Linked DNA regions of Rhinolophus ferrumequinum. The protein of the gene in region 2 interacts with the protein of the main gene of each other region in a pairwise test. Links are inferred from orthologs where the notes say so. Each region holds a gene or a part of one and is shown on either strand. Other genes may lie near its edges.

Evidence for each region. The genes of interacting proteins can lie anywhere in the genome.
Region 1: the proteins of TRIP6 (region 2) and METTL17 interact in binary tests that used the Homo sapiens proteins (3 or more experiments, as listed by UniProt). The link is inferred for Rhinolophus ferrumequinum from reciprocal best matches to the Homo sapiens genes TRIP6 and METTL17.

Annotation. Positions count from the first base shown.
Region 1 is NC_046289.1:71,893,748-71,903,649, reverse strand, and holds the start of METTL17 (methyltransferase-like protein 17, mitochondrial), read right to left. Parts: upstream 4,029-9,902; coding exon 3,876-4,028; intron 3,729-3,875; coding exon 3,575-3,728; intron 3,487-3,574; coding exon 3,352-3,486; intron 2,477-3,351; coding exon 2,395-2,476; intron 2,137-2,394; coding exon 2,055-2,136; intron 1,745-2,054; coding exon 1,671-1,744; intron 1,223-1,670; coding exon 1,128-1,222; intron 765-1,127; coding exon 694-764; intron 504-693; coding exon 396-503; intron 136-395; coding exon 67-135; intron 1-66. UniProt on the Homo sapiens protein: Mitochondrial ribosome (mitoribosome) assembly factor. Binds at the interface of the head and body domains of the mitochondrial small ribosomal subunit (mt-SSU), occluding the mRNA channel and preventing compaction of the head domain towards the body.
Region 2 is NC_046290.1:91,071,096-91,080,917, forward strand, and holds TRIP6 (thyroid receptor-interacting protein 6), read left to right. Parts: upstream 1-5,418; 5' UTR 5,419-5,743; coding exon 5,744-5,852; intron 5,853-6,113; coding exon 6,114-6,241; intron 6,242-6,332; coding exon 6,333-6,458; intron 6,459-6,744; coding exon 6,745-7,134; intron 7,135-7,454; coding exon 7,455-7,548; intron 7,549-7,659; coding exon 7,660-7,829; intron 7,830-8,284; coding exon 8,285-8,463; intron 8,464-8,724; coding exon 8,725-8,845; intron 8,846-8,957; coding exon 8,958-9,089; 3' UTR 9,090-9,228; downstream 9,229-9,822. Other genes in the region: SLC12A9 (solute carrier family 12 member 9), read left to right, coding at 405-562, 679-761, 931-1,055, 1,197-1,389, 1,560-1,734, 1,944-2,090, 4,003-4,892. UniProt on the Homo sapiens protein: Relays signals from the cell surface to the nucleus to weaken adherens junction and promote actin cytoskeleton reorganization and cell invasiveness. Involved in lysophosphatidic acid-induced cell adhesion and migration.

The DNA of each region.
Region 1 (9,902 bases), on a different chromosome or scaffold from region 2:
CAAAGGAGTACCAGTAGTTGGTGACAGATAAGTGGGGAGGTGGGCGGAGAAGGGAAAGAACCTTACCTTAAGGACGAGGTCCCTGGCTTCCATGAGCAGGCAGTGCCCAGCTTTTGTTCCATTCTCCACCAGTATCTGTTCACAAAAGGGGAAACTGAGCAGAGGCCCTGAACTACATGAAAACATCAATGTAGCTCTGTAAGAACATTCACAGATGGAATAGTGGTCCTAAACGAAATGGTATTATATACAAGATGAGGATGGAGACCGTAAAAGAGGGACAAAGGATTCTGTGCAGGAGAAAAGAACGAAGACAAGCTCCAATGGACAGAAGGAAAGGCATGAAAACCATGAAGCTACTTTAAAACTTGAAGGGAAAAGGGGTTTCAGCTCACCAGAAAATTACTTGTCTTGCGCCACAGGGTTTGAACGACCTCAGCGCGCTCAGCCTTGCTGGGCAGTTCACTCAGGGAAAAGGCTGAGACCACCACATTGAATTGTACCTGAGGACCAAGACAGGGACACGACAGGCTCGACATCTCCCCTGCCAAGAGCATGACAGTCTAGCTCCCTAGATTTCTTCTGCTGCCTTTTCTCTTCTGACACTCACTGCTGGGTTGCAAAGCCGAGGACACACTTTTCCATCTGCCAAATTCCGCATTTAGCTGGCATACTCTACACATTGCCACTTGCCTTGGGTGATACAGGTAGAAACTGTCTGAAAAAGACACTTGGAACATAAGGTTCTCCAGATTCTGAACCACCTGTGGAGGAAAGGAGAGGTGTGGCAACTATGAGTGTATAGGTATAAACTGAGGTGATATCCTGATGAGAAACATGGCCCCGACAATAAAGGAAAATGCTAGGCGAGAGTGAGACGCAATGGGGTAAACAAACATTAAAAAGGACAGGAAGAATATTAGGTCACCTGTCCTGTTAATTTTACCCAACCCATCCATAGTCCAGCAAAGGCCTCCACCACCCTCTGCTTGACCATAATATTGGAAGGAGACCACACTCATCTTAACTTTTAGCCCACTCCTTTACTCCTGAATATAAAGTTATTTCTAGTATTACTTTGCTTTATTAACTCCTTCAACTTTGGAAAGTCCTTCCTTATAGCTCACCTTTCAGTAGCTTTTCTGCCAGATCCAACATGGCAGCCGAACTGTCCACACACATATATTCACGTATGCTCTGGCCCCAAATACTATGAGCAGCCCTAAGATGGCAAAATATAAATCAGCAGTTCTCATGACAAAAAGTCATTCTTACAAGAAATCCCTCTACCACCAACCCCACCCTGGGGAAACAAAGTGTTATATTAAAATAGTTGGAAAAACTAACAATGTTATTTTCTTATTTCATTTACAACTCCTTAAAGAAAAAAAAAGGCAGACTCAAACACTACTTGTAGACAAAAATTTTGATGATATACAAAACTTATGCCCTAAATTCCTTTCCTTTTTTATCTTTCTATACACGGTCCTTTTTCACCTGACATTTAAGTTTTGGCCTTAATTTATAAACCTTCTCATGCCTTGCCTAACCTGAGGGAAGAAACATTTTAGTTCCCAACTTTCCTATTCTTGATTCCCCAGTCTCTTGATGTTGGAGTGGTGTAAGCATGGCTCTCTAAAACTAGAATGTATAAAGAGAAAGATACTCACCAGGTGACAGACCCAGTACCCGATCCAAAGTCCATCAAGGTTTGTGGTTGGAACTCTGGAATTTGAGTCTGGATCTGAAGAAATATACAACACCCCACAGTAGGGTAAGCAGACTCTTATTTAGGGCCGTGGTAAATATGATTAGGAGACCAGGACAGAGGAGATGTGAATGTCTTTTGAGATTCAATTTAAATACTTTATAGAATAGGAAGCTCCTAAAACAGTGACTCTAAACCTTTCTTAGGTCACAAAATCCTTTCAGAGGATAAAGAGAGCCCCTTAAAAAAATGCACATGCAATGTCCCAAGAATCCTACCCCAGAAGACTACTTTATAAGGGAACCGATGGTAAAAGGGTTCAGGTTGGAAGCTGAGGGGCTTTCACCTCATGGAATGCCCTGGAGACTGCTGCAAAGCCACCATCCAGTCTTGCTGCCATATACACCAGGCTCAGTCCCTCATTGTAGCTGCCAGAAAAATCAGAGAGTCATGTCCACTGGGAAATAATCTCTATTCCATAGCTGCTTCTAGATTTTTTAGGAAATGAAATCTCTGGAAAGGGTTCTTCCATGTTATCACTTTCACACTACAACACAGGAAAAGTCCTGGGGAGCCTTAGAAACCAGGTAGCTTTTTCAAACACAAAATTGTGTAATTGTACTTCTCCAATTCTCCTTGAAAAGTCAAACTTTTCTTTCCTCTGTAACCCTTCTAGTCCCTCTTACCTCAGTTCTTGCCAATGGTAGGTAGTTTTACGCAGCGCACGCAGCACTGCTCCACGAAGTTTCTCCTCTGTCTGAGATGAGTCTGGGGTGAGAACAAGCACTGGAAGTGAGGACCTAGGATGAACAGGGCTCAGATCCAATATTTGAATTTATTGCCTGCCCATTCCGCCCCAACTCCTACCCGGGAAAAGCCTCAAAGCTTAAGGAAGCCAAACCTGGTGAGAATAACAATGACCTCCACCACTACCACTAGAGTGTATCAGACAGTAATTTGCCTCTAACAGCAGATTATTCAACTCAATTCACCCCATCCCACGGGTTTTGTTCTATACTAAAGGGAAGCGTGGTAAAGATGTACAAAATAGGATAAGGACAGTATTTTGTACATTTCCTCACTTCCCCAAAACTTAAGATTGTGCGTCTCTAATGTTCCTACACGGAGGAAAGGAACTTTAAGTCTCATGATAGCGTTCAGTTCAGTCCTATTTTATAGAGTGCCTACTATAAGCCAGGTACTGTGGGTAATACAGGGACTACAAGATGAATAACAAGCCGGGTCTGTAATATGAAGGAGCTCACAATCATGAAAATAATAACTTGACAAATTATACTTATTCTCCTGTCCCTCAAGAGGGGTTTGGCACTGGACAGGGAGCCATACAGGGGCTTTATTTCAGTTGAATAAAAACTTAGTCCTAATCCAGTGGATTTGTTAGGAAAAAAAACAAAGACCTAGATTTCAACAGGATATTAAAGCCCTCACTGACCTTCACCAAAGCCGGGAGGGCAATCTTTGGAATAATCTAGCTCCTCTTAGTAAGGCATCATTGTAATAACCGCCCAGAAAGTCAAATAAGAAACTGTAGTATCTATTTGAGAGACTAAAATTATTTCTGGCTCTTCATTTCCCATTGTTATTTCAATGTGACCTACTTTTTAGTTATTCTTAAACCCTACCTAGGTTTTCCAGGATTTTCTTCTCAAGATGCATAGCCCGCCTTTGCAATTCCTCTGGCTCTACGGGTACATGCCGGCTCCAGAGATAATTGGTCAGTGCTTGCACCTGCTTCTCCACATTGGGTATTGGATTCTCTATGGGCCAAAGATGAAAAGCGGCATCAGTTGCATGAAGGCCCAGTCTCCGCTTGCTCTCGAGCCTCCCTTTCCTACCGTTACTCACCGAGCAACAGTAACTGCGCGGTGTCAGCCAGTGCTTGAGGCAGCCGCACCCGCGGCAGCTGCCGGATGCCGGGGTGCCGGCGATGGGGCCTCTTCCCCAGAAAATCGGACTTGTTATCCACCTGGGATATGCCGGGCACAAGGGCAGCGAGAGCCTGCAAGCCGGAAAAGAAAAGCTGATTGCCGGGCAGGAAGAGAAGGTTGCGGGCGCTCGCTAAGGGAGGGGCTGCCGGGAGCGCTCCTCGGAGCAGACCCGTGTCAGAGCTCCAGTCTCTCCCAAAGCAGTGACAATAGGCACTCACCCGGGACTGCGGAGCTACACCAAGACCACGACGCCATCTGCCTAATGTGAAAAGACACCTCGGGCCGCTCCTGGTCGCCATGGCGCCGGAGGCGAACCGGAAACGGAAATGTAGATATCTGTGACCCTCAGTCTCACTCGCCCAGGCGGACATCCTCCCCGGAATGACGGCATGGGACAGTATCAGCCAATGAGGAGAGCGAGTGCATGCGAGTGGCCAATAAACAATCGATATGTAAATCACCTTGAAGTGTAAGAGTGCGTGGGTGGGACTTGGACGTCGCTGCTACAGGAACCCGCCGGAAGCGAGGTGGCCTCAAGGCTTCTTTGGGACTGGTCTCCGCATCCGAAAATTCAGGGGCGCGGGGTGATAGGGGGTGGTGGCGTGCCCTACCCTGGGTCTTTAGGAACGCACTGTAGACTGGCAGGCTGTTTTCTGGATGTGTTAACTGCCTGCGTTCCCTTGATTTTCTTTCTTTCTGGAGAACTCTGAAGTAGTGGGTTCTCTTCTCCGTTTGAAAAGGGGGAAAATGCAGTAACAGAAAGAAGAGATAAAAGCCAGATTTAGGCGACGGAAAAGAACGGAAATTAATAGATTTAATGCTTTTTATATTTTAGTTTCTCTTCATATTAAACTGGTCTTCATAGATAAATAGCTAACACACTTTCAAGTAATATCAATCCCCTCATTTAGTCCCCTCATTTCACCTCATTTAGTCCCCAGTCTTCTGAAATAGATCGTTGTTAACTCCATTTTGCAGCTGAAGAAAGCTGTCTTCAAATGGTTAAATACCACGCCCAAGATCACAAAGCTTATATGAAAACTAGACTCAAACCTAGGCAGTCTTAAGTCAGCTTCAGTTTTAAACATATGCCCTACCACATATTGTTGGTATTTTGAATGTAAGTTAGCAAATTAACAATATGCTAAATGTTATGAAGTGTTAAATTAACATGTAGAATTAGAATGAACTCACTCGATTCCTATAGCAAACACGTTAGTCAGCTATGGTGTATCTTAATCTGGTGACTGGATGGGTAAACAAACCTATGGCCTTTGCTGTAGCTGCAAGAGTCCAAGTATGTTAAGTATGGAATAAAATATGGGTAACTATATCACTTGCAGAGTTAAATATCTGGTTTGCGTTTAGGTTATTAAGCTTGATTCTAATATAGGAGGCCTTTGCTGTATAATCCAAATGCTCTGGAAGAAGACTTGAGGGTTGCTTAGGACAGCTGTTGTAAATTCCCCACTCACTGCTCTCCCTTTCAAGTTCACCACCTTCTTTCTCCCCCCGCCCCACTTTGATTCACACTGCCACACAGCCTCATCTCTGTGACACATTGCTTTTACTTTAAGTTATTGCCTCAAGTACAGTCATCCCACAGTATCTACCGGGAATTGATTCCAGGACTCCATGTGTCATGCGGGAGATCCTGCTCGCTGTGCCATGTGTCCTGTGGGGCAGCCTGCGGGGTCTCTGCTCCCGTTCCCCACATAAGAACGCAGGATGTAGCTAGGCCAAAAAGGAACATCCACGGAGCCATAGGTAGGGGAGTCATACGACTATATTCTCTCTGGCAGCTGGGCGAGACACATGCAGTAGTAGCCACATGATCTGCAGTCCACCATTCACTTCCCTGCCTGCCAACCAACCAACCAATCAATGCAGCCCTGCAGTTACATCAGTAGCTAATTGGCCAACCGGTTACAGCTGATGGCCAACCAATCACAGTTGATGGTCATTCACTATCAGAGCCATCACCTCCCCACACAAGGCGGACAGCCTGGAAACTGCTGCTCTCTGGGACTCTGTCCCCACACCGTGGATACCAAAATCTTTCCATGTTCAAATCCCTTATATAAAAATGGTATAGTATTTGCCCATAACCTAGGCACATTCTCCCTTATACTTTAAATTATCTCTAGATTACTCATAATAGCTCATACAATGTAAATGCTATGTAAATATTTACTATACCGTATTGTTTAGGGATTAAGTTTCTGGGGTTTTTTTTTGTTGTTGTTTTTAAAAATATTTTTGATTCCTGGTTGGTTGAACCCACAGATATGGAACCCATGGATATGGAGGACTGCTAGTATTAGCAAAATAAAATATTCCTGTCACTGCAGGTTAGCTGGAACATAAGATTGGCTATGTTAATTTTTTGTCATAGGGAGGTAGCAGAACATAGGGTTAAGATACTTGGCATCTGGAATCCAGCAGTCTGGATTTGAGTTCTAGAGCAGCAAGATAATAGTTGCTACCTCACAGGGTTGTTGGAGTGAGGACTTAATGAGATAGTGTTTGGCCAAAGTAAACATTCAATGTTTATGATATTATCATACGTATTATCACATGTATTTTGGGAGCTTGAAGGAACATAATCATATTTTAATTTTTATTATGAATTCATGTCTTATTTCCAAGATGGGCTTGAAACTGGGGCTACTTGGGGCCAAGTAAGATTGAGCACTGGTGACTAAGAAGTAAAGAGCAGGAGGACTTGGTGGTGCCTCTAAATATCCCTCCTGGTGTTTTGTTGTTGTTGTTGTTGTTGTTTTTAATCTAACTGCCAACATAGATGTGGCTTCCTTCATTCTGACACTGGTCTAATTGAAATTGTTCCCTTCCTTCAGTGATACATCTCAAAAGCTGACTTAGACCTAAATTTATGTCTTTGTTCTTAATCCAAAGTATTGTTCATAAAAACAAAACAAAGCAAAACTTCCATACCACTCTCCCCATGAATCGAGGATGTCCATAAAACATCTAAAACAGTGAACATGATTCTTTGTACATTGAAAGCACTTAATAAATATTTGTTGATGATGTTGATTAAGTGACCACTCTTTGTTTTCATGCTGGGAAAAGCCTAGGATAGACTAGGTTGAGGATCCAAGTCTAGTTATTTGACCAGGTCACAATCCCCTACAGCACAGATGAACCCATTTCATTCCTCATCCATGAATTCTGCATATCAACACTGGTCATACTTTGACCTGGGTAGTATTTCCAATTATTGGCTTTGCATTAAAACAAAACAAAACAAACAAAACAAACAAAGAAACAAGCAGCACAGATGTCAATGGGGAGAAACTGGACAGTATTAAAGAGAAATGCCCGATCTCCAAGTTAAGCAAAGGAAAATAAAAAAGATTCTCTAAGGAAGGTTTGGATAATTTGGTTAGAGATGGATAATGATCAACTGGTCTTCTCCACTGGGTTTATGAAAAAGGGAGGTAGCTAATAATTAGATTTAGAGAAACCCTTAACAATGAAGGTGTGAAGCAACTGGAATAAGTTTATTGGGAAATTAAAGAAATTCTGCCATAAAGGTCCTAAATAGTACCTTTAAAAAAAATCTCTTTCTTTTTGCTGTTTTTTAAAATCTTCAATTCTCTTAAGCCATCATTTGTTGTGTTCAATTGCTTCTAGATCAGTCTTTATCTTTTAAATGATTTTTATTTGTAACTTTTCCTGTGTCACATTTTTTTTCCTGAATTTTTTAAAATTTTGGTGCATATTATTCTTTCATGTCTTGGATTATTTTCTTAGCTTATTTTGAAATCATGGCTTACATTTTTAATCTGTTTTGTGGACATGTCTGTGTTAGTGTAGGTTCTCAGCGAAGCAGACATTAAAGGTGGGATTAGATTTGTAAGAGATTTATTGGGAGAAATACCTGTGAGGGGATAAGGGAGAGGAAGCCAAAAGAGGCAGGAAGAGTCAGACTGTAATGAGGGAGGGAAAGCAAATGGATTGGTAGGAACAGTTCTAGAAATGTTTCAGCCAGCCTTATGGAGACTCTTTGAGCCCAAGGTAACCATCAGAGGAGTCTTGCATCTTGTAGAAATGGGCCTGACTTAGTAGTATCACTGCTGCACTAAGTCTTTGTTTGAGAGTGGCCCATGGGAAGCATAGCAGATTCAGAGTGTGGCTGTTGGGGCCATTGGTCAATTATGATTCCCATGAGGTCTGAGGAGTGCATTTTCATAGCTTCTCTAGAGCCACACAGATCCACTTCTCCAGCTCTACTTCCTCAGATAGGTTCAAAGGACAGTTCCTTCAAGTTTTGCACAGGCTTTCACAGATTCAGCATGCCAAGAACTACAAGAAGAAAGGATATGTGTTTTATTTTGAGTAAAAACTCAAGGTTAAGTGTAAAACCTTTAGGTTCAGGATTTCAAAGTGTAGGCAATATGGAGAGAAAATATGACACACACACACTTGATTAATGCAACATTTATTTCTGTTACTTAGCTGAGCAGGGAGCAAGTGAATGTGTGAAGTAGAGAAATAGGGACACACACACACCAACTTGACAGGAACAGTCAGTGTGTCTGTGCCAGGCTGCTGCTGCTGCCTAGGGCTGATGCCCATCAGTGACCTCCACCTGCAGGATTTTCTTCCCCATTTCTGCACAAAGAAGTTGGAGTGCCCTCAAAGATTTGGGGTCTTGGTCTGCAGAAAACTTGATTCAGCTTTCCCAGTAGAAGTTCAGGGAGACTGGTGCTTTATGCTCCAGGTTCGGTGATGGGGTGGATGCTCAGGCTTTTTGCTAAAAGTCTTAGGGGGGATTGAGGATGACTGCAGCTAGGAGCCTGAGACTAGATCCTCATCAGTTCTTCCAGACTTCCTCCCCAAAACAAACAACATGTTTACATTACTCATTTTTCAGATATAAACACAAATCTACTTTTAAAATGGTTTCTCAACAACATGTTTAAAAACAAGAGTTAAATAAACATGTTTATGAGATTTTTTTTAAAGGAACAATATATTCATAATTTGACAAGGTGAGGTGAAAACACTATGTCAAAACAAACTTACTTCAGGATGAGACATCCTTTAAAAATACTTAAATCACACAAATCACAGTATGTATCCAATGTTAGCTGCCTGGCATCTCTCTGATTTGTCTCCATGTGCCTTAGAGCTATAAGCAGTTTCCTATCATGACTCAATCTTTTTTTTTATGAATAATTTTTAAAAATATTATTGGGGAATGTTGGGGAACAGTGTGTTCCTCCAGGGCCTATCATCTCCAAATCGTTGTCCTTCAATCTAGTTGTGGAGGGTGCAGCTCAGCTCCAAGTCCAGTTGCTGTTTTCAATCTTTAGTTGCAGGGGCACTGGTGCAGCCGGCAACCTTGTTGTTGAGAGCTCGTGCTCTAACCAACTGAGCCATCCGGCCACCCTTTCCGGAATCTCAGCAGCAGCTCGTCTTCAATCTAATTGTGGAGGGCACAGCTCACTGGCTCATGTGGGAATCGAACTGGGAACCCTGCTGTTCAGAGCTCGCGCTCTAACTGACTGAGCCATCCAGCCGCCCCTCATGACTCAATCTTTGCATCAACTGAGGACTACAACCTGGGCTAGTCAGATTCCTTTGAAGAAACTGAGTTTCCATTCCTGGCTCCCTATCACCAACCTAACGGAAACTTGGGTGATGGAATGTGAGTGGCTTACAGCAGAGTTTCACCAATAGGAGAAAAAGAAGGCGATTTGTAGTCCCTTCTGATGGCACCTGCAACCATATCTTTGCACCGGAGGCCACCACTTACTGAGTCAACTGGGTTGTCATCTCTGAAATGTGGCAGAGAGTGAAAATGATGACTATTTTTATAAAATAGGTCAGGGAAACTCCTGGAACAGTACATCCATTTTGTTTTATGCTCACCATGAGAAGGGTTTTAGAAGAATGACATTGTTGATAGGGGAAGTCAAACAAACACATCATAAGTCTCATAAGTCGGGGTTGTTCTTGCTCCATCCTGTCCTTTCAATTTTGCATCTGTAAAATCCCAGCAGCCATTTAGGCTGGCCCAGATACCCTTCACTTGGTTGATAAATAAGGGTGTTTGGTTAGAAGAGCATGCATTTTTGTTTCACCAACAGTGACGTATGTTGTTAACATTCTAAATTAAAACAAAGAACAAGAATTTTTTTAATTTTAATGGCCCACTGGAGGTAGACACAAGCTGCTCCTGGCTGGAGGCAACCAGCCTGAGAGCTTGGCCACCT
Region 2 (9,822 bases):
AGAGAAATGGAGCTGCTGCTGCCAGTGGGAGGGCTGGCTAAGTGGTAATAGATAGCTTGCAGCCAGCATTTGCCACGTGCCTGGTACGGTTGTAAGTACTTGCTTTGGGGGTGGGGTAGGGAATGGCTTCCTAGTCAATTTCCATAAACAGTTGGCTCCTTGTGTGTATACTGTTGGGAATGTCCATCACATGATTAAACCCAAAGCAGTCCAATGATAACCAATGAATGCCAAGTCTACCCCCCGGCACACTTGATCTATTACTGTGGTCCTTGAGATGGGGGTTGGGGTTAGTTGAAAATGCATAGCTCTTAACCTCACACAGTGTTATGAGTGCTGTTCTCACAAGGACCCCTGGATGGCTGCACATTTTTTTCCGTGTCCTCCTCTTTCCCTCCCTGTAGGACCCTGCTGCAAGAGGACTATGGGTTCTTTCGCGCCATCAGCCTATGGCCCCCACTGGTGTTGATCGGTATCTATGCCACAGCGCTCTCAGCCTCCATGAGCTCCCTCATCGGTGCTTCCCGCATCCTTCACGCCCTGGCCCAGGACGACCTCTTTGGTACACTGTCCCCTGCCTCCGTGCCGGGCTCTGAGCGTGCCCTCCCGTGTCTCTCAGTCTCCGTTCAGACCCAACAGACCCAGGCTGATGGGTCTGTTGTATTTCTGTTTGCACAGGAGTGATCTTGGCACCAGCCAAGGTTGTGTCCCGAGGGGGTAACCCTTGGGGGGCCGTGCTCTATTCATGGGGCCTAGTACAGGTAAGCCTTCCTCTTTAAGCTGCCCTTCCCCTCACCCTAAGCCCCTCCTGATTACGCTCGCAGGATCAGGAGCGCTTAGGCTCTGGGTGAGAGATGTGAATGAAAGGCAGGATGCATTGGCATTTGGTGGGGGGTTGGCTCAATGTCCAGCCTCTTGGTCCTTGTCCAGCTGGTGCTTCTGGCTGGGAAGCTGAACACACTGGCTGCAGTGGTCACCGTCTTCTATTTGGTGGCCTATGCTGCGGTGGACCTGTCCTGCCTGAGCCTGGAGTGGGCCTCAGCCCCCAACTTCCGGTGAGAGAATAAGATGCCCATGTCCCCAGAAAAAGAGGGAGGAATGGGAGGAACTCAGACCAAGGTGGGGAGGCTGGGATTGGAGTGGGGTGGCCTAGTGTTCAGCCGGTCCTGAGTGTCCTTCCTTCTGTCTACCTACAGCCCCACCTTCAGTCTGTTCTCCTGGCACACCTGCTTGCTGGGGGTGGCCTCCTGCCTGCTCATGATGTTTCTCATCAGCCCCGGGGCTGCTGGCGGCTCCTTGCTGCTCATGGGCCTGCTTTCTGCCCTGCTCACTGCTCGAGGCGGCCCCAGCAGCTGGGGCTATGTCAGCCAGGCCTTGCTTTTCCACCAGGTCAGGGGAGCTTGGAGGAGGGTGGGAAGGGGAGGAGGCAGTCTGGGAAAACCTACCCTACAAGGAGGCCTCTTTTTCTCTTGGCTAGAGTTAGGGTTCCTGTCTGAGATGTGTTGAGTGGGGACTGCCCACTTAAGCCCTTCCTCCCCACCACCTTACCCTGTCCCCAGGTGCGTAAATACCTGCTCCGGCTGGACGTCCGGAAGGAGCACGTGAAGTTCTGGCGGCCCCAGCTGCTGCTGCTGGTGGGGAACCCCCGGGGTGCCCTGCCCCTGCTGAGGTTGGCCAACCAGCTCAAGAAGGGGGGCCTCTATGTGCTGGGTCATGTCACCCTGGGAGACCTTGGTGAGTTGCCCTCCATTCCTCCTTTCCCTGTCGGTCTCAGAAGCTCTTGGTGTTCTTTATGTCCCAGAGGATTCATGCTTCTTCCCAGATGAACCTTAAACAACCAGCACACAGTCCTCCCAGACCTTTTTCTTCTGCCCATTGGGGATTTGGACTCTAGGACAAAGTCCATGAGTTTGGCCCATATTTGCTGCTTTCCTTCTCTGCAGATTGCCTGCCCTCAGACCCTGTGCAGCCACAGTATGGGGCATGGCTGAGCCTCGTGGACCGGGCCCAAGTGAAAGCCTTCGTGGACCTCACCCTCTCACCCTCTGTGCGTCAGGGGGCTCAGCATCTGCTGCGGATCTCGGGTCTTGGTAAGCTGCTCCTCTCTGGGTCCCCTCTGCCTCCTTTGTGGCTCTTGTCAGTCTCTGCTATACCCGTGACCCCACCACCACCCAAGAGACTAGACCGCAGATTACAAACTCCAAACCCTCAGTTTAGTGCAGATAAGACATAGCACTCAAAGATAACAGTGTGTGGTCAGGTCTCGGAAGAGATGTTTAAGGACTAGAGATGGGGTGACACTTATTTTTTTCTGATCCAAAAATTGGGGCACAGATTCCAAAGAGTATGTTGTATTTCTGGGGATAATGGGAGAATTATTTGAGGCCAGGGGCCGCCCCATCAAATCTGTGACAGATGGTTTCTAACCACTCAAGTTCCGAGAAAGGAAGACCACTATGCACTGATATAGCCAGCAAAAGTATTGTGATGAGATGATCTTTCAGCTGGGCCTTGAAAGGGGCTGAGAAGTAGGGAGTGGTGTAACATGGCCCCCAGAGACCGCAGAGATGCAGAGGGTGTATGAGGCTGATGCTTTTGGGTGGAATGGAAGATGCCCAGCTTTGTGACTGTCTTAGTGCTGAGGCCTCCGGTCTTGCACCCCAGCTTCCTCCAAATCTTTGCTCAGCCACCTCCTTCTTTCTTAATCCCGGTACAGGTGTCTGCCCTCTCTCTGAGTGTATGCTTCCTTCTCCACTTAGAATCAGGGTAAAGATCAAGTGTTGGACATTGCCCTATTTGGTGTAAATGAGAACCCTGGAAAATGCTCAGGAGGGGGTGTGATTAGTTTAATTTGCAAGAACAGCTAGAGTTCCAAGGTGTTTTTGGATGTTGTCAAGCATTATGAGATAGACCCTGGAGCAGCTGAGGGCCTGGTCTCTCCACAGCCCCACATTTTGTGGGGAAACCTATGCCAAGAGACCACTACTTTCATGCAATTTATTCTGTGGAAAATGATTCAAATAAAAGGAAAGAGATTTCCTTTAAATAGTAAATTCTCCTGGTAACCCATTTGTTTCAAGAGAAAGGGTCTAAGGAGAGGTCTCAGAGTCTTCCTCCATAGTCTCCCCTCTTGAGGGGGTGGAGAAATTATCCAATTCCATATTGGTTGTTCAAAAACTTAAAAACCAGGAACTGTTGGCAGGGACTTGGGGCGTTGTGATTGGTACACATACAAACTCAGAGGCTCAGAGAATGGGCTGGAGTGCTGGGTACATTGTGTTCACCTGCCGCCCCAGTATTTACCATCCATGAGCCTTTGGGCAGGTGACTTCACTGCTCTGGGCCTCAGTTTCCTTATCTGTAAAAGGGAGTGAGTAAATAGTCCCTACCTCATGGTGTTGCTTCAAGGATCAGATGAGTTAAAACATGAAGTGCTTTCAATAGGACGTGGCCCCTGGTTAGTGTGCAGATAGATGTTAGCTGTCTGATCTCTGGGCGTCGTGCTTTGGACATGCCGTCATTAGGGAAAGAGATTGCACAGCCCCGGCCCTGAGTTCTCATCCTCCCCCAGCAAGGTCTGGGTGCTGTTTCCCTGGATATTGAGGCCATGAGCTTGACTAATTAGGGGGTCTGGTCTACCCAGTGGAGTCAGACTCCCATCATGAAAAAGATGTGCTGCTAGAAGCTTGGATTGAAGGCATCCTACTGCCACCAAAAGTGCTCATTAGTTAAAAGAATCTTAAGGTGAACTTGCTTTGCCTATTTAAACAGGGAAGATTAGTCATGGAGATAAGTCAAATAAATGCATGCAAATGTGGGAAAACTAAAAGTCATCATGCAAACATGCATAATGTTGTCCTAAGAGCCCAAGCACAGTGGAATGAATGTCATATCCAATGTTGCCATCAGTGTGTACGAGTGGATGTGTATCGCATGGTGAAAACTCAGCTGGTGAGTCTGATTCCTGTCGGTTCCTTCCCACCTCCCCTTCTCTGTCCCCAGGTGGCATGAAGCCGAACACGTTGGTCCTGGGTTTCTACGATGATGCTGCACCTCAGGACCACTTCCTGACAGACCCGGCTTTCTCTGAGCCTGCTGATGGCACCCAGGAGGGTGGGTCCCCAGCCCTGAGCACCCTGTTCCCTCCACCCCGGGCTCCTGGGAGTCCCCGGGCTCTCAGTCCCCAGGACTACGTGGCCACGGTAGCGGACGCCCTCAAGATGAACAAGAACGTGGTTCTGGCGAGAGCCTGTGGGGCCCTGCCCCCTGAGCGGCTAAGCCGGGCGTCTGGGGGCACCTCTCAGCCCCATCACGTGGATGTGTGGCCCCTCAACCTTCTGCGGCCCCGGGGTGGGCCTGGCTATGTGGACGTCTGCGGTCTCTTCCTGCTGCAGATGGCAACCATCTTGGGCATGGTGCCTGCTTGGCACAGTGCCAGGCTACGGATCTTCTTGTGCCTGGGGCCTCGAGAGGCCCCAGGGGCGGCCGAGGGGCGACTCCGAGCCCTGCTGAGCCAGTTGAGGATCCGGGCTGAGGTGCAGGAGGTGGTGTGGGGCGATGGGGCTGGTTCCGGAGAGCCTGAGGAGGAGGAGGAAGGGGACTTTGTGAACGGCAGGCGAGGAGACGCTGAGGCAGAGGCCCTGGCATGCAGCGCCAACGCCCTGGTTCGGGCCCAGCAGGGGCGAGGCAGAGGAGGAGTGCCTGGGGGGCCTGAGAGTGGGGATGGCAGGGAGGGGCCCACCACTGCCCTCACCTTCCTATACCTGCCTCGGCCACCTGCTGATCCTGCGCGCTACCCTCGCTACCTGGCACTTCTGGAGATTCTGAGCCGAGATCTGGGTCCCACACTGCTCATTCATGGTGTCACCCCTGTCACTTGCACTGATCTCTGATGCTCCATTCCTGAAGTGGAGTGTCCAGGTCTGGTGGCCCACTTTGATTAGTGGATGAGGAGGGGAAGGGCCACCTTGGGCCTGCCCTGCATGTGGGACACAGAGCCAGGTAGAGGTATTAGGGGATCCTGGGCTGGGGCATCTCTCTGTCTTTGGGAGAGGGGTCCTGGTGCACTAATGCTGGGAAGCTATCCCTGCCACAAAGGAGAGGGAGTCAGCCCTGCCCCCTCCCTCCCTTAATTGGTGCCTTCATGGGGGCTGGGTCTCCGCTTGTGAGTCTAGGCTACCTCAGTCTCCCTTTGCCCAACAGACTCACTGACCAGTGAGGTTGTGACGTTTTTGTTGTTTTATTTTTCTAACTGCTGAATGTCAATAAACGACCAAAACACTACTGCTGGCTGAACACTACTGATGGGATAGGTGGGACTGGAAAAGGGAGACATCTGTATAAGGGGAACCTGGGAAAGAGGAGCACTGGAATGTCCCAGAGGCGAGGTGGCCACGTGCAGGACTTGGGGAGCGGACCTGGGGGGACTCGTGGAAATGGAAGCTGCCCACGGCCCCTCAGACGGGCTCCCGTGGAAAGCCCTCCTTGTTGGGCAGGAGGGGGCCGACTCCGGGGAAGAACGCGGTTTAGGGCCTAGGGGGCCACGTGACCCTCCCCCAGGAATGCGGTGACGTCACGGGGGCGTGGCCGTCCCCCAAATTAGGGAGGAAGGGGAAAAAAAGCCAGAAAAAGTTTCTTTCCTGGAGTCCCAAACGAGGTGAGCGACCGAAGAAAGGGTCAAGTCCAGAGGCTTCGGGCTCCGTGGGACCCTGAACGCGCTGTCTGGAGACGCCCATTCTAGGCCATGTCGGGGCCCACCTGGCTCCCCCCGAAGCAGCCAGAGCCCGCCAGAGCCTCTCTGGGGCGAGCTCTCCCCCGAGGCGCCCTGGGGCCGCCGCCAGCTCACGGAGCAGGTAAGGCAACCCCTGTGCGATGGAGGAAGCCACCCGCCAGCGGGCCCCTGCCTCCCGCCGAGCTTTCCCCTGCCGCCCCTTCCCCGAAGCCAGGCTGGAAATCAGCTGCCCCTGCCCTTTCTCGGCCCTCCCTGCCTCCTGCCACATTCTCAGACCCCAGGATCTGGGGGGAAGGGGAGAAAAGGACCTGAGAGGGTCCTCCACAAGTGTCACCCTTGTCTCCTTCCCCATCCCCACCTTCACTCTCTTCCCTCACCCCAGCACTTCAGCCCCACCCCAGGGTCAATTTTTGCCCCCTCCCATCTGAGCAGTGTTACCAGGTCCCTGGGGGGCCCGAGGATCTGGGGCCAGCCTGGGTGGGTTGCCATGGAACACCCCAGCGTTCGCAGGTGAGAACTGGGATTGGGGGGTTGGGGGGCATTCAGGGCGGGAGAGGAGGCCATGTGATTTGCATTCTCCCTGCTTTTGCTCTATCCCTAGGGCCCCCCCCCAGACAGGGGGGGCCAGCGCCCAGGAAGTCTGGATGCTGAGATAGATTCTCTGACTAGCATGCTGGCTGAGCTGGATGGGGGTCGTGGTCATGCTCCTCGGAGGCCTGACCGGCAGGTGACCCCCCTGTCCTGCCCCTGCCCCCCTTTTCTTAGCCCTGTCCCTTCTCTGTCCACTCAGCCTACTCCCACTTCACCTCCCCCTCTGTGTAAGTGATGCCACACACCAGCATGGAAGGAGCTGGGCCACCAGAACTTCTGGGTTGTCAGCTTCTCCAGGGTGGGCCTTTGTCAGAAACCAGCCCTTACCTGGTGGCCACACACATGGGGTGGGGCTGGGGTGTTCACAGGTGTGTGTCCTGTAATGGGCCACCTCACTCCTTTTCCTCTGCATTTCTCCCCAGGCTTACGAGCCCCCTCAGCCCCCTGCCTACCGCCCTGGCTTGGGCTCCCTGAAGTCAAATGGAGGTGGTGTTCCTCCCCCACTGCTCCCAGTGTCCCCCTATGGGGGCCCCACTCCAGCCTCCTATGCTACAGCCAGCACTCCCGCTGGCCCTGCCTTCCCTGTGCAAGTGAAGGTGGCACAACCAGTGAGAGGCTGTGGCCCCCCCAGGCGGGGGGCCTCTCAGGCCTCTGGGCCCCTTCTGGGCCCCCACTTTCCTCTCCCAGGCCGAAGTGAAGTCTGGGGGGCTGGCTATAGGAGCCACCGAGAGCCAGGGCCCGGGGGTAAAGAGGAGGCTGCTGGGGTCTCCATCCCTGCAGGAGGAGGAAGAGGAGGCAGGTATGGGCCCCAGGTAAGCCCCAGGCACTGAGATTTGGGGTCCTCACAGACAATTGGACACTGATTGGGTGGGATGGGAGTGATATTTAAGGCCTGGTTGTCAGATGTCTGGGGTGCCAGAGCTCTGGACCCCTCTGGGGATGTGGGGCAGGTCAGGAAAAGTAGGAGGTAGGGGGCTGGAGTGGCACACTAGCTCGAGACATGTCCCTGGGCCCTGGGATGACATGTTCTTCAGCGAGAGCTTTTTTGGGTGGAATTGCCTGGTCACCCTCAGGTGTTTTGACAGCATCGAGAGCTAGAGGTAGGGCTGAACCTCTGATTCTCATCTCCCAGGTCTCCCTGAGCCAGCCTCCCGAGGAGGAGCTCGAGAGGCTGACCAAGAAGCTGGTGCACGACATGAGCCACCCGCCCAGTGGGGAGTACTTTGGTGAGCTAAGTCTGAGGGTGGGTGGAAAGGGTGGGGGGCTGGAGAGACAGAGGGATAGCAGACCTGGCTTCCTGGCCTATGCAGGTTGACCCTGTCCCTCCCTGTCCCCAGGCCGGTGTGGTGGCTGCGGAGAAGATGTGGTTGGGGATGGGGCCGGGGTTGTGGCCCTGGACCGCATCTTTCATGTTAGCTGCTTTGTGTGTTCTACGTGCCAGGCCCAGCTTCGGGGCCAACATTTCTATGCCGTGGAGAGGAGGGCATATTGTGAGAGCTGCTATGTGGTGAGTGGGTGGGGCTGGAGGCTGGAATCAGCAGAGGAGGCAAGGGGCTTCCATCTAAGGTGGGAAAGATGTCCAAATCCCAAAGAGGAAGAGCGCTCAAAGTTGGGGGACTAAAACAAGAAGGGAGGAATTAGGTAGCTAAACACCGGCTGCTGGGGGAAGGACAACAGCCCCTTACAAATGTGAGGCTTTTAGTTTGGAGTTAAAAGAGTGTTAAATTCCCACAACATGCTGTGAGGCAGATATTACTACTGAAGGAAATTGAAGCTCAGAGAAGTCAAATAACTTGTTCAGGAAGCTGCAGTGCTGGAATTTGCACTCAGATCTGCACAAGGCCACCTTTCACTAAATCATATGCAGGGGGCTCCATAAACAGATGGGTGGGGTGGCAGGATGCCTGTAGGGCTGCTGTGGGCCTCCCCAGCCCCCGACCTTTCTGACCTCCTTCCCAACAGGCCACCTTGGAGAAGTGCTCCACATGTTCTCAGCCTATCCTGGACCGGATCCTGCGGGCTATGGGGAAGGCCTATCACCCTGGCTGCTTCACTTGTGTGGTGTGCCATCGTGGCCTCGATGGCATCCCTTTCACGGTGGATGCCACCAGCCAGATCCACTGCATTGAGGACTTCCACAGGTCAGGCTGGGTCCCCCACCTTTGGCTCAGGATGTCTGGCCTTTCCTGTCTTCCTCATTTCTTCTTCCTGTCCCAGTACCAGCCTCTCCTGTTTCTCACCCTTGCCATGCCTTGTTCTCGTTAACATCACTCTTCCCCCAAATCCAAGACCATACCTCTGGGCTCTTCTGTTCCCTTCCGCATCTCATCTTCTCTGGGCTCTACCGTCAGTCCCCTCCACACCTGGGGCTTGACACCCTCCTTGGTTCCCTTCTACACCAGGAAGTTCGCTCCACGATGCTCAGTGTGTGGTGGGGCCATCATGCCTGAGCCAGGTCAGGAGGAGACCGTGCGAATTGTTGCTCTGGATCGCAGTTTTCACATCGGCTGTTACAAGTGCGAGGTCAGGGGGTCTGGGCAAGGGGTTATTGGGGTTATTGGGGTCTGGGGATATTGGGTATGGTAGAAACCAGGGGTTTGGGCCTGATGGAAAGCTGTTGCTTTTTTCCTAATAGGAGTGTGGGCTGCTGCTCTCCTCTGAGGGTGAGTGTCAGGGCTGTTATCCGCTGGATGGGCACATCTTGTGCAAGGCCTGTAGCGCCTGGCGCATCCAGGAGCTCTCAGCCACCGTCACCACTGACTGCTGAGTCTTCCCAGAAGCAACTGCTGCGTTCTTCCTTCTCATCGACCACCTTCCCTGACATCTACCTTTACAACTTTGTCACTAAATGCTGTTTTCTCTTCCTCTAATCATGAAATAATAATCTCCCAAGAGTTTACAAAACACTTTTGAGTCTATTATTGTCTCATCTGATTCTCACAGCAGTCAACACAAGCATACCTGTTGTGACTGTATTTTTAACTGAGAAGTGACTTCCCCAGATTGCATGGTTCCCAAGTGGCAGAACCTGGGTCTTCTTAGCCCTGGTCCAATTATTTGCAACTCTAGTACAGTTGGTTCTCTATCCTGGGTTCAATCAATCGAGGATAGAAAATACTCAGGAAAAAAGTTACATCTGTCTTACGTGTACTGTGTAGTTAGGCCTACCATGGTTGCACTTGGTACTGAACATGGTACAGATTTTTTTCCTTGTCATTATTCCCTAAACAGTACAGTATAGCACTTACGTTGTATTAGGTATTTATTATAAGTAACACAGAGATGATTTGAAGCATACAGGATATACGTATATAAATATGTACGTATATAAATACTACACCATTTATATGTGATTTGGGCATCCACGGATTTGGTATCCCCAGGCATCCTGGAACCAAATCCCTGCAGAGACCAAGGAATGACTGTATACTCTTCAATGTAGTTTGGTATAATGACACCCCTCCTCTCAGTGCTGGGAGCGAGGCAGCAGCATGCTCCAG